Saccharomyces cerevisiae S288C: one gene and its partners. Changing the gene in region 2 together with the main gene of any one other region gives a genetic interaction. Each region holds a gene or a part of one and is shown on either strand. Other genes may lie near its edges.

Region 1 (3,434 bases), on a different chromosome or scaffold from region 2:
CGGTGTCCTTGAGTTTACTTGTCTAAATTGTCTCAAGTCCTCGATAGAGTAATCGTATCCTAATAGATGGAGCATTGAGTACAGAAGAGCGCATGAGTGACCGTTCGACAGAACAAACCTGTCTCTATTGATCCAATGTTCATTGTTAGGGTTACAGCGCAGTTGCTTGAAAATTACATGGGCAACTGGTGCCAATCCTAGTGGTGCACCTGGGTGGCCAGATTGTGCGCTTTCCACCTGGTCAACGGAAAGTAATCTTAAAGTGGAAACCGCAAGTTTATCAATGTCGGAGAACTGTGCCATTTTTTTGTTCTTTTTTTGATTAGTAAGGTATAATCGTCTACGTAGAGGTTACAAATCGAAGACTACAGTAAGAGGGGACAAGCCAATTGAATATACGACTGAAATAAATGGAATAATTCTGCATTATTACACTCGTTTATATATCCAAACAGGTGATCTGGTATTCTCTTGACAACGAATGAAGCTCCCTATATTCGACACTCCTTATTCAGGACTCCTCCCAACAAGGAGAAGTAGGTGTTCCTTGAGCTACCCTTTAAAGCTGGGGAGATGAGCTTGCCCTTCCTGTCATCGCCATTATGACGAGAAAAGTAAAACATGTAGAATAAGGTCCACCCAAACATGTCCGAGCAATGACGTTATATATCGTGTTCCCTGTTCAAAGCATGGCATATGTGCCATTAAAGGCGAATTTTTGTCCCTAGCAAAGGAGAGACAGCGAGCCACCATTAAGAAGTGACTTGAAAGCAAGCGAAAATAGCTACACATATATATCAATATATTGACCTATAAACCCAAAATGTGAAAGAAATTTGATAGGTCAAGATCAATGTAAACAATTACTTTGTTATGTAGAGTTTTTTTAGCTACCTATATTCCACCATAACATCAATCATGCGGTTGCTGGTGTATTTACCAATAATGTTTAATGTATATATATATATATATATATGGGGCCGTATACTTACATATAGTAGATGTCAAGCGTAGGCGCTTCCCCTGCCGGCTGTGAGGGCGCCATAACCAAGGTATCTATAGACCGCCAATCAGCAAACTACCTCCGTACATTCATGTTGCACCCACACATTTATACACCCAGACCGCGACAAATTACCCATAAGGTTGTTTGTGACGGCGTCGTACAAGAGAACGTGGGAACTTTTTAGGCTCACCAAAAAAGAAAGAAAAAATACGAGTTGCTGACAGAAGCCTCAAGAAAAAAAAAATTCTTCTTCGACTATGCTGGAGGCAGAGATGATCGAGCCGGTAGTTAACTATATATAGCTAAATTGGTTCCATCACCTTCTTTTCTGGTGTCGCTCCTTCTAGTGCTATTTCTGGCTTTTCCTATTTTTTTTTTTCCATTTTTCTTTCTCTCTTTCTAATATATAAATTCTCTTGCATTTTCTATTTTTCTCTCTATCTATTCTACTTGTTTATTCCCTTCAAGGTTTTTTTTTAAGGAGTACTTGTTTTTAGAATATACGGTCAACGAACTATAATTAACTAAACATGGGTAAAGAGAAGTCTCACATTAACGTTGTCGTTATCGGTCATGTCGATTCTGGTAAGTCTACCACTACCGGTCATTTGATTTACAAGTGTGGTGGTATTGACAAGAGAACCATCGAAAAGTTCGAAAAGGAAGCCGCTGAATTAGGTAAGGGTTCTTTCAAGTACGCTTGGGTTTTGGACAAGTTAAAGGCTGAAAGAGAAAGAGGTATCACTATCGATATTGCTTTGTGGAAGTTCGAAACTCCAAAGTACCAAGTTACCGTTATTGATGCTCCAGGTCACAGAGATTTCATCAAGAACATGATTACTGGTACTTCTCAAGCTGACTGTGCTATCTTGATTATTGCTGGTGGTGTCGGTGAATTCGAAGCCGGTATCTCTAAGGATGGTCAAACCAGAGAACACGCTTTGTTGGCTTTCACCTTGGGTGTTAGACAATTGATTGTTGCTGTCAACAAGATGGACTCCGTCAAATGGGACGAATCCAGATTCCAAGAAATTGTCAAGGAAACCTCCAACTTTATCAAGAAGGTTGGTTACAACCCAAAGACTGTTCCATTCGTCCCAATCTCTGGTTGGAACGGTGACAACATGATTGAAGCTACCACCAACGCTCCATGGTACAAGGGTTGGGAAAAGGAAACCAAGGCCGGTGTCGTCAAGGGTAAGACTTTGTTGGAAGCCATTGACGCCATTGAACAACCATCTAGACCAACTGACAAGCCATTGAGATTGCCATTGCAAGATGTTTACAAGATCGGTGGTATTGGTACTGTGCCAGTCGGTAGAGTTGAAACCGGTGTCATCAAGCCAGGTATGGTTGTTACTTTCGCCCCAGCTGGTGTTACCACTGAAGTCAAGTCCGTTGAAATGCATCACGAACAATTGGAACAAGGTGTTCCAGGTGACAACGTTGGTTTCAACGTCAAGAACGTTTCCGTTAAGGAAATCAGAAGAGGTAACGTCTGTGGTGACGCTAAGAACGATCCACCAAAGGGTTGCGCTTCTTTCAACGCTACCGTCATTGTTTTGAACCATCCAGGTCAAATCTCTGCTGGTTACTCTCCAGTTTTGGATTGTCACACTGCTCACATTGCTTGTAGATTCGACGAATTGTTGGAAAAGAACGACAGAAGATCTGGTAAGAAGTTGGAAGACCATCCAAAGTTCTTGAAGTCCGGTGACGCTGCTTTGGTCAAGTTCGTTCCATCTAAGCCAATGTGTGTTGAAGCTTTCAGTGAATACCCACCATTAGGTAGATTCGCTGTCAGAGACATGAGACAAACTGTCGCTGTCGGTGTTATCAAGTCTGTTGACAAGACTGAAAAGGCCGCTAAGGTTACCAAGGCTGCTCAAAAGGCTGCTAAGAAATAAGAGTAATAATTATTGCTTCCATATAATATTTTTATATACCTCTTATTTTTATGTATTAGTTAATTAAGTATTTTTATCTATCTGCTTATCATTTTCTTTTCATATAGGGGGGGTTGGTGTTTTCTTGCCCATCAGATTGATGTCCTCCAACTCGGCACTATTTTACAAAGGGTTTTTTTGTAAGAGAAGGAGAAGACAGATACTAAACCATACGTTACTCGAAACAAAAAAAAAAAAAATGGAAAAAGCTGCTATCAACAAAAGACGGCCTCATCAAACCTAAAGAAACCATGTCAGCGTATGTATATACCTTGTAATTTACGTTTCCTTAAATCTTCTTTCTACTAACGTTTTCATTATTCTATACTCTATGACCAATAAAAACAGACTGTACTTTCAAAATTTACCCAGTAGGCCAGCAAATAAAGAAAATTATACCAGATTACTTCTGAAACACATTAATCCCAACAACAAGTATGCCATTAATCCGTCGCTACCCCTTCCCCACAATAAATTACAAA
Region 2 (2,696 bases):
AATTCTTTTCTATCGTCCTGTGTCCTATGATTATCGGTTACGGCCTTACTGAAACAGTTGCGAATGCTTGTGTTTTGGAGCCTGATCATTTCGAATATGGTATAGTTGGTGATCTTGTTGGATCGGTCACTGCCAAATTGGTGGATGTTAAGGACCTAGGTTATTATGCAAAAAACAATCAAGGTGAATTGCTTCTAAAGGGTGCGCCGGTCTGTTCTGAATATTATAAGAATCCAATAGAAACGGCGGTCTCTTTCACTTACGATGGATGGTTTCGTACTGGTGATATTGTTGAATGGACTCCCAAGGGACAACTTAAAATTATTGATAGAAGAAAGAATTTGGTTAAAACCCTAAATGGTGAATATATTGCATTAGAAAAGTTAGAATCTGTTTACAGGTCAAACTCCTATGTGAAAAATATCTGTGTTTATGCCGATGAAAGTAGGGTTAAACCGGTGGGTATTGTGGTACCCAACCCAGGACCCCTATCTAAATTTGCTGTCAAATTGCGTATTATGAAAAAGGGTGAAGACATCGAAAACTATATCCATGACAAAGCATTACGAAATGCTGTTTTCAAAGAGATGATCGCAACAGCCAAATCTCAAGGTTTGGTTGGTATTGAACTATTATGTGGTATTGTTTTCTTTGATGAAGAATGGACACCTGAAAATGGCTTTGTCACATCTGCTCAAAAATTAAAGAGAAGAGAAATCTTAGCCGCTGTTAAATCAGAAGTCGAAAGGGTTTACAAAGAAAATTCTTAGAGAGAAGCTTATTACCTTCCCCTTCCATCTATGCACGGTGTCTCGTACTTCCATAGAGCACCGATTAGTGAATACTAAAACTATGTGCGTGATAAATGGTTCTCTTTTACAGATGCGGTAAATCAATTATTGATATACTACATAACATACAAACATGTTTCATTTCCGTAATACAAATTACAATTGTATAATTAAAAAATATAAAAAACTTCGTGATATGAAATCACATTTTGCTATTGAGTTTGCCACATGAGCGGTATACGAACTATTCGTTATTTTATGACTTTAAAAGCCATACCGAAAGTAGGCTTGAGAAGTATGACTACTGTAGGAGTGACCACTACTGTTAAATGCAGATAGCCGTCTTATGCTCTTCCCTTGTTCTTCTGAATTGGGAATGCATAGCTTGAAACATCAATCTTAATAAGGTCTTGTTTGTTTCTGCTTGGCTTTCATAGTAGCAAATAGTTTCGACCTTAATGTAAGAAATAAAAGCAATCGTTAATTTGAGTAAAGATAACCACTCTTCCTCTTCTACTATCAATATAATAAGAATAACGCTTATGGTTTATTTTAGCTTTTTTGAAAGCTAAACATTAAAAAAGAATAAAAATGCACGGCATACCTACATATTTTAAAAACATATATTTTATGATTGACTTTAGCAAAAGTTGGCGCTGGGTACTTTGAGACTCTTTCCTACAAAACGTTACCAACACTTGCTAGTCTAATCTAATCTACTTAATCAAGGTTTTAGTGGCGTACCATGTGACGGCCATCAAATGCCATCAGTTCTACAAGTTCACATATATTTATATATAACTATTCTCCTAACTTGTATAATATTATACCGAGACAGAGGATAGATTCAATTGATTTCACATACCGGATTATGTTCCTTCCCAAGTTCTCAATCTTATTTAGACTTTTTTTTTTAATTACATTGTCGCCCACTTCGGCAGAAAAAATATAACGACAAAGTAATGGCATCGCATCGACCTAATGAAATACTACTGGCAGACGGTATGGAGAGCTCAAAAATTCCCAAAGCAGAAAACAATACTGATTTCTGATACTAAAACGAGATAGGTTAATAGCAAAATCGGGATGGTAAACGTGAAAGTGGAGTTTCTAGGTGGACTTGATGCTATTTTTGGAAAACAAAGAGTACATAAAATTAAGATGGACAAAGAAGATCCTGTCACAGTGGGCGATTTGATTGACCACATTGTATCTACTATGATCAATAACCCTAATGACGTTAGTATCTTCATCGAAGATGATTCTATAAGACCCGGTATCATCACATTAATCAACGACACCGATTGGGAGCTCGAAGGCGAAAAAGACTACATATTGGAAGACGGTGACATCATCTCTTTTACTTCAACATTACATGGTGGTTAAAAATAGCAGCAAATAATTTTTAAGAAGCAGCTACATATATATATATAAAGTGCTGTACAGCTTGAATGAATCACAAGTTAGATAACGTAGGTAATATGCAGATAGTATAAAAAGTAATAGTAATAACTGGATTGGTTTTTTTTAGTACATGACGAAGATTATAGCTCTTGTATCCTACAACCCAAAAGACCTCTACCATTCCAGTTTCTCGAAGGTGTTAGCGATGTCTTTAGGATTTGCCCTTCTCTCAAGAGAAGGACGGGAAGTGGCCTGTCTTCATTTTTCATTACAACCATCTGAATGTTTTGAAGTTTAGAGTGGTTTGCCGCATGCACATTACCAATAGAAATCAGCTTATCATCAACCTTTATGTCTGCTTTATCTGAAGGGCTACCGGGTACTACCTCACTGATAAATGCAAAAGGGATGGTATACTGAATAGCTTGATCGTCGTTATTCCTTCTTGCATCTTGGTTTGACTTAACGTTCATATTATCAAAGTGCTGGTTTAGTAAGACG
Region 3 (3,166 bases), on a different chromosome or scaffold from region 2:
TTGGGCATACCGCAGTTGAACTTTACTGAAATGGAACCGCTGGCGTTTAAATTTAAGTATCATCTGGAAAGAAAATTAAAAAATATTGCCACTATGGAATTTCGACATAGGATGGAGGTATTGGATAATTTAGGCCTGTTGTGCTCATTAATAAAAAGACTAATAATTGATGAAAAGACTCCCAGATCAGCTACGGAGATTGCTGTGGTACCAAGGATGAAAAGTCTATCATTAACAAGGATTATTGAAGGTCAACTAAACAACATTCCATACTGGATAAAATCTGGTGAACGAAGTACATGGCCCGCACTAGCTTTAATTAAGACAAGATGTGCAGTCGAATTTAAATTAGACGACATAATAAGAGCAAGACGGAGTAGGTAGTATCGTTTCCACTTTTTTCTGTCTTATTTTTTTTATTGATAGAGCTCGATTGCATATATTTTTCATTGATATTGTACTTAAAAATATATTCAGTTCATAGAAAAAACAATAATACGAGAATCAATGTGCCTCGTATATAATCTTATCATTATTTAGCGATAAAATAGTTTTGTTGACTCCTTCTCATTCAGATATAGGTATTCATTTTCAACGACGTGTAGGCTTGTGTTTGAAGTTGCAATGGGTGCGCCGCCCCTGCAAACGTGCAATGAGCCGGTTACGTCCTTTGCAAAACCGGTCTTCAGAGGATTCAAGTTCAAATTAATCATTGATTTGATAAAGGAAGATTTGTAGAAATTTTGCAGATTCGAGGAATGAACAGAAGCATCGTATTCATCTATATTAAATATGTCCGAATTGGAAACAATGATTAGCACTTTGCATTGCCTCAAAAGAGGTGTGATGAACTTATTGTTTAATTCTGAACAAGTTAGGCCGCTTACTAGCGACAACAGTAATTCTGGTTGTTCGATGATAACAATGGTGTCAGTTGGGTTATTTTGTATAGCAGCGGAGAACTTTGCGAGTACGTCACTTAGTATTTTGTCTCTTGGCTTATTATGGATATTATTAACGATGAAGTCGGACAGGAAGTCTAAAACATTGTAGTTATTAGATGGGATCTTTAGCTTGTTTAATGAATTTGTAAAATAGTTCTGTTCGTGGATAAACGACGCAAGGACTGCATGGGAGCGAGTTGACGAAGGTAGCATCGATGAAGAAGATTCATTAAGGGAACTTGGGGAACCTAACACGTGCGTTTCTACTAGTGCGTTTATCATCCATAGTGGTTGAGTACAGGATTGATGGGTGATGAAGAATAAGTTATGAGAGTTGCTGTCTTGGAAAAAGTGGGCAGGAAGCACTGATTGGTCGCTGAATAGGACCAAATCTTGTCGTTGAACACTACCCATAAATGTGTATTTAGTTATTTTTGTGGAGGTTCTGGACGGTTTTTGCCTAACTTCTACTAGCCTCAATTTAGTACTTTTATTTTTTTTTCATTTTTCATTCTGCTCATCGCCTATCAATTCATGCCTAAGAGATGCAAAGATAGCGTACTATAGATGTGAAAAGTTGGATAAACAAAGCCCATGATATAAGCCACGGCTTCAGCCTTAAAATTGGGGTTAAAGGCTAAGAACGAATTGCAAATTCTTTTGCTTCAGCAGGAATTTTCCAACAGCAAAGTATAAAAAATCTATCTAAGCCGCTTTTAAATTAAGGAGCGTATATAAAATTATATAATCACACTCGAAGGACCAATCTGTGCTCTACATACCTTACGCGCTCTAATAATATGATCTATGCTTCATCAGTCTTGTTTATTCTTAAAGTATTTTTTTTTATGTTTGGTTCTTGTTATTGAACAAAAAAATGAATTAACCCGAACACTACCAAATCAATAGCAGAAGAAAAGAAGAAAATGATAAAATAAAGGTGAGAACCATTTTAAAGCATTATTCATTATGAAATCCTCCTATCTAGTATAACTTGATTCGACACCTTGCTAATATTTCTCTGAAGCACTGTCTTTAGAGGCAAAACGGTACTATCGCATATTCTTACCCGGTTTCAAGTTTTGCCCTCACGCTTTTTTAGGGAGAAATGACTTCCACCGAAAGGATAATTTGAGAACACCACTACAACTTAAAGTCCAAGAGCTTCATCAGTACAACGAGTTCGTATCATCAAGAACGCACATCAGCAGAATAATGGGAGGTATACTTAAAAACCCGCTAGCCTTATCGCCGGAGCAGCTGGCGCAACAGGATCCAGAAACGCTTGAAGAGTTTAGAAGACAAGTTTACGAAAATACGCAGAAAAATGCCAAATTGACATCACATAAAAGGAATATACCGGGACTAGATAATACAAAAGAGGAGGGGGAGATAATTGGAACATCGAGTACCTTCCTTCCAAAGGACACACTGTCACTGAAACATGAGCAAGACATGTTGGCCAAGATGACACCAGAAGAGCGAGTTCAATGGAACCAAAGAAATTTAGCAGAAAATGAAATAACAAAAAAGCAGTTCCAAGATATTCACATAGACGAGCCCAAGACCCCCTACCAAGGTGCTGTGGACCCTCACGGGGAATACTACAGAGTAGATGATGATGAAGATGAGGATAATAGTGATAAAAAACCATGCCAGGTGGCAAACGATGACATCGACGATTTGTCCCTGGGCGAACCGGAATTTGAAATCAAAGAGAACAAACAACCGGATTTTGAGACCAACGACGAGAATGATGAAGACTCACCGGAGGCTAGACATAAGAAATTTGAAGAAATGAGAAAGAAGCATTACGACGTAAGGGCAATTTTCAACAAAAAGTCCCGTGAAGCGCTAAAGGACGAAGACGAAGACGAAGATGATAGTACGACAAAAGAACCATGAAACATGACACCTCCATAACGTTTACCTATACTAAATATATCTTATTTTTTGGATTCTTGGTACATAAATATGCACTGTTTGTTATCACGCGAAACGAACTGATTTTTTAACAAGCTTTATTTTATACATGAAAAATTTCCCATCGATGAGCTGTGATCGGCAAGTGAGAGTACTCTGTTTCACAACTACTACCGGTCCCAGGAATATATACTACTGACCACAAAGCTGTGTATCACTTAGTTTGATGAGCAGCACGAGGAAGTTCAAAAAGGTTGAGAAACCTCTATCACAAACCAGACATTATTCACTCTGTATCC
Region 4 (2,766 bases), on a different chromosome or scaffold from region 2:
TTGAGATACAGAGTTCCTTCTTATTCAATTGCCTATCAAATTAGCCAACTTGTCCAAATAGTAAAAGATATAGATCTTATAATGACATATTTTTCAAATCCTACAAAAACAAGTTACCCTAACACTGTATAAAAAGAATCTATTTATTGTACTGTTAATAGTACTGTTATTACAACATGAATTCACCGATACCAAAACCAGCTGATAACGTCTGGCAAACACCACTCTTTCTTCTTATGGCCCTCTTCAACAGCTTATCTCTTTTAGACAAGGGTTTCCACTTTTTAGAAATTGCAGAGGATGAGCGCAGGGAATTCTTCAAAAACTTCCTTTTTTTCAAGGTGAACTTGCCCTCATTGTCTCTGTAGCACAATAACTTGATATTGTAGTCCAAATTATCAAGAAGGGAGGAAGATGGTGATGAAGATGGGGAGGGTTCCATGGCTTCAGCACTGTTGATATCATCTTTGATGAAGTCCTCTATTCCCAATGTGTCGTTCGAACTCGTGGTGGCGTCGCCTGGATGCAGAGCCACGAGGGAGCATTTTCTTTGTCTTGTCTCCTGCAGGCAAATGGCCTCTTCTGCAGTGCCATTTACTTCCTTCCAGAAGTCCGTATTATTTGCGTCACTCTTGCTATTGTCGCCGAAAAAGAATGATTGCTGTATCTGTGGTAGAAAGATACTGCTCTCGCTGCTATCGTGGAAATTATTCTTGTTGTGATTTTCCTCCATGGGTAGTTCATTGTCCGCACTGTAACTAAATGTGCTGTTGGTGAAGGAAGGCTGGTGGCATGGGGAGAAGAGAGGATCAGGCTCAGAACTATAGCCGAGCGTACTTTCGAGGTCGTCATCATCGTCATCATCGTGTAAATCTCCGTTTTGGGTGCCATCGTCCTCGGTGGCGTTCTCAGATAGTGAACCGGCAGTATCTATCGAACGAGCAGTGGTGATGATGATTGGGGTGGCCTCGACTGCACTGGCTGTGGTGTTTTTACCATCTGCTGTCCCGCGAGTGTCCGCTTTCTTTGTGTGCGATCTGGACAAGGGAGTAATATCCTCCTTGGTGATGACCTTATTCGGTACCTGAAATGCCTTGCTGCTTTTATTCATTGCTACGTAAACTATGCTATATGATACAAGTGAACGCTCGTCGAGGGAATAACTGCTGCGTGTGCGTGAACGAGTAAATGAATGAATGAATGAGTTAACACATGAAAACGAAGATAATCGCAAAACGACAATGAACAAATAAACACATCCCTCATTTGCGGCACTGCTCATCTCATCTCATCCTTTATATTAGGAGGCAACGAGCTTTCTCGCTCACCAAAAAGAAACGTGCGAAAAAAACCGAAAAATAAAAAAAAAAAAAAAAAAAAAAAAGAAACGCGCTGCAGGAACGTGACTTCCAAAAAAGGAAGGTGCCGTTCCAATATGGAAACCGCAGGCACTCATGATTGTGCAGGACGGGTAACACATGATTTGTTTCGTTTCTTCGATCATTTTGCAGAACTGGTCAGAAAAGAAAGTGAAAAAATCTAGTTTAACACTATTGTAGAGGCTATAAATTGTAGACAACATTTACTGCAGAAAACTGTACGCACATATATAACAGATACTACGGTTATTATGGACACACTGTTCAACTCCACGGAAAAGAATGCCAGAGGCATACCGCAGGCTCCATTCATCGAAAATGTCAACGAAATAATTAAGGACCCAAGCGACTTCGAATTGTGCTTCAATAAGTTCCAAGAACGGCTTTCTAAGTACAAATTTATGCAGGAATCTAAATTGGCTACGATAAAGCAGCTGAAGACTAGAATCCCGGACTTGGAAAACACATTAAAAATATGCCAAAGTCTGCGCAATCACAGCGACGAGGGCGATGAGAGCGATGAACCTATCCTGTTGCACTACCAATTGAACGACACGCTCTACACAAAGGCTCAGGTTGATATACCGGAAGATCGGGCGGATTTGAAAGTTGGGTTGTGGCTTGGCGCAGACGTGATGCTGGAATATCCCATCGACGAGGCCATAGAGTTGTTAAAGAAGAAACTCGCGGATTCCGAACAGTCTTTAACGGTGTCCACCGAGGACGTAGAGTTTTTGAGGGAAAATATCACGACAATGGAGGTCAATTGCGCGCGATTGTATAACTGGGACGTTCAGAGAAGGCAAGACTTGAAGCAGGCTCAAGAAGGGACTAAAAACCTCAAGATATAATGTGTCTGTAAATTTAAATCCAAAGAAAAATAAAGGGCACTACATAGAACAACACAATCAACCTACATAGCTCTCTTTTTTTTTTTTTTTTTTTTTTTCTTTTTTGTTTTTTCTCAATTTTCTTCATTTTTTGCATTGTTACTACTCTCCCATTAAGGGAAATTCTACCAGGAAAACCGAAGAAGACAAATGCAAAAGGGAAATATGAATACGCATGTATGCGCGCAAAACCGCACTTACAGAGGGCATTAGGACATTATGTTTGATCATGACGTCGAATATCTGATCACTGCACTCTCTTCCGAAACGAGGATCCAGTATGATCAACGCCTGCTAGACGAAATCGCGGCCAATGTGGTATACTACGTCCCAAGAGTCAAATCCCCCGACACTTTGTATCGCTTGGTCGGAGCACTTTTCCGATCGCAGTTCATTGTCCAATTACCACCACTACGCCTTTTGCACATCGTCAAAGATGTTTTCCTTTGGAAACTGGAAGTTTCTGAGCCCACGCTCCCAATTTCGAAGTTTTACTT

The links.
Region 1: mutations in URM1 (region 2) and TEF2 together harm fitness more than expected from each alone (negative genetic interaction), as found in Saccharomyces cerevisiae (4 studies listed by BioGRID, with this or other methods).
Region 3: mutations in URM1 (region 2) and ELP6 together harm fitness more than expected from each alone (negative genetic interaction), as found in Saccharomyces cerevisiae (3 studies listed by BioGRID, with this or other methods).
Region 4: mutations in URM1 (region 2) and PAC10 impair growth when combined (synthetic growth defect), as found in Saccharomyces cerevisiae (4 studies listed by BioGRID, with this or other methods).

The regions. Positions count from the first base shown.
Region 1 is NC_001134.8:476,135-479,568, forward strand, and holds TEF2 (translation elongation factor EF-1 alpha), read left to right. Parts: upstream 1-1,536; coding exon 1,537-2,913; downstream 2,914-3,434. Other genes in the region: transketolase TKL2, read right to left, coding at 1-303; MUD1 (Mud1p), read left to right, coding at 3,204-3,211, 3,301-3,434. UniProt on the Saccharomyces cerevisiae protein: GTP-binding component of the eukaryotic elongation factor 1 complex (eEF1). In its active GTP-bound form, binds to and delivers aminoacyl-tRNA to the A-site of ribosomes during protein biosynthesis.
Region 2 is NC_001141.2:340,659-343,354, forward strand, and holds URM1 (ubiquitin-related modifier URM1), read left to right. Parts: upstream 1-1,877; coding exon 1,878-2,177; downstream 2,178-2,696. Other genes in the region: long-chain fatty acid-CoA ligase FAA3, read left to right, coding at 1-770; NAS2 (Nas2p), read right to left, coding at 2,336-2,696.
Region 3 is NC_001145.3:896,597-899,762, reverse strand, and holds ELP6 (Elongator subunit ELP6), read right to left. Parts: upstream 1,359-3,166; coding exon 537-1,358; downstream 1-536. Other genes in the region: TGL3 (bifunctional triglyceride lipase/lysophosphatidylethanolamine acyltransferase), read left to right, coding at 1-384; PP1-complex regulatory subunit GLC8, read left to right, coding at 2,160-2,849; UPA2 (putative methyltransferase), read left to right, coding at 3,094-3,166. UniProt on the Saccharomyces cerevisiae protein: Component of the elongator complex which is required for multiple tRNA modifications, including mcm5U (5-methoxycarbonylmethyl uridine), mcm5s2U (5-methoxycarbonylmethyl-2-thiouridine), and ncm5U (5-carbamoylmethyl uridine).
Region 4 is NC_001139.9:639,236-642,001, reverse strand, and holds PAC10 (tubulin-binding prefolding complex subunit PAC10), read left to right. Parts: upstream 1-1,630; coding exon 1,631-2,230; downstream 2,231-2,766. Other genes in the region: YGR079W (uncharacterized protein), read right to left, coding at 170-1,282; PEX8 (Pex8p), read left to right, coding at 2,489-2,766. UniProt on the Saccharomyces cerevisiae protein: Binds specifically to cytosolic chaperonin (c-CPN) and transfers target proteins to it. Binds to nascent polypeptide chain and promotes folding in an environment in which there are many competing pathways for nonnative proteins.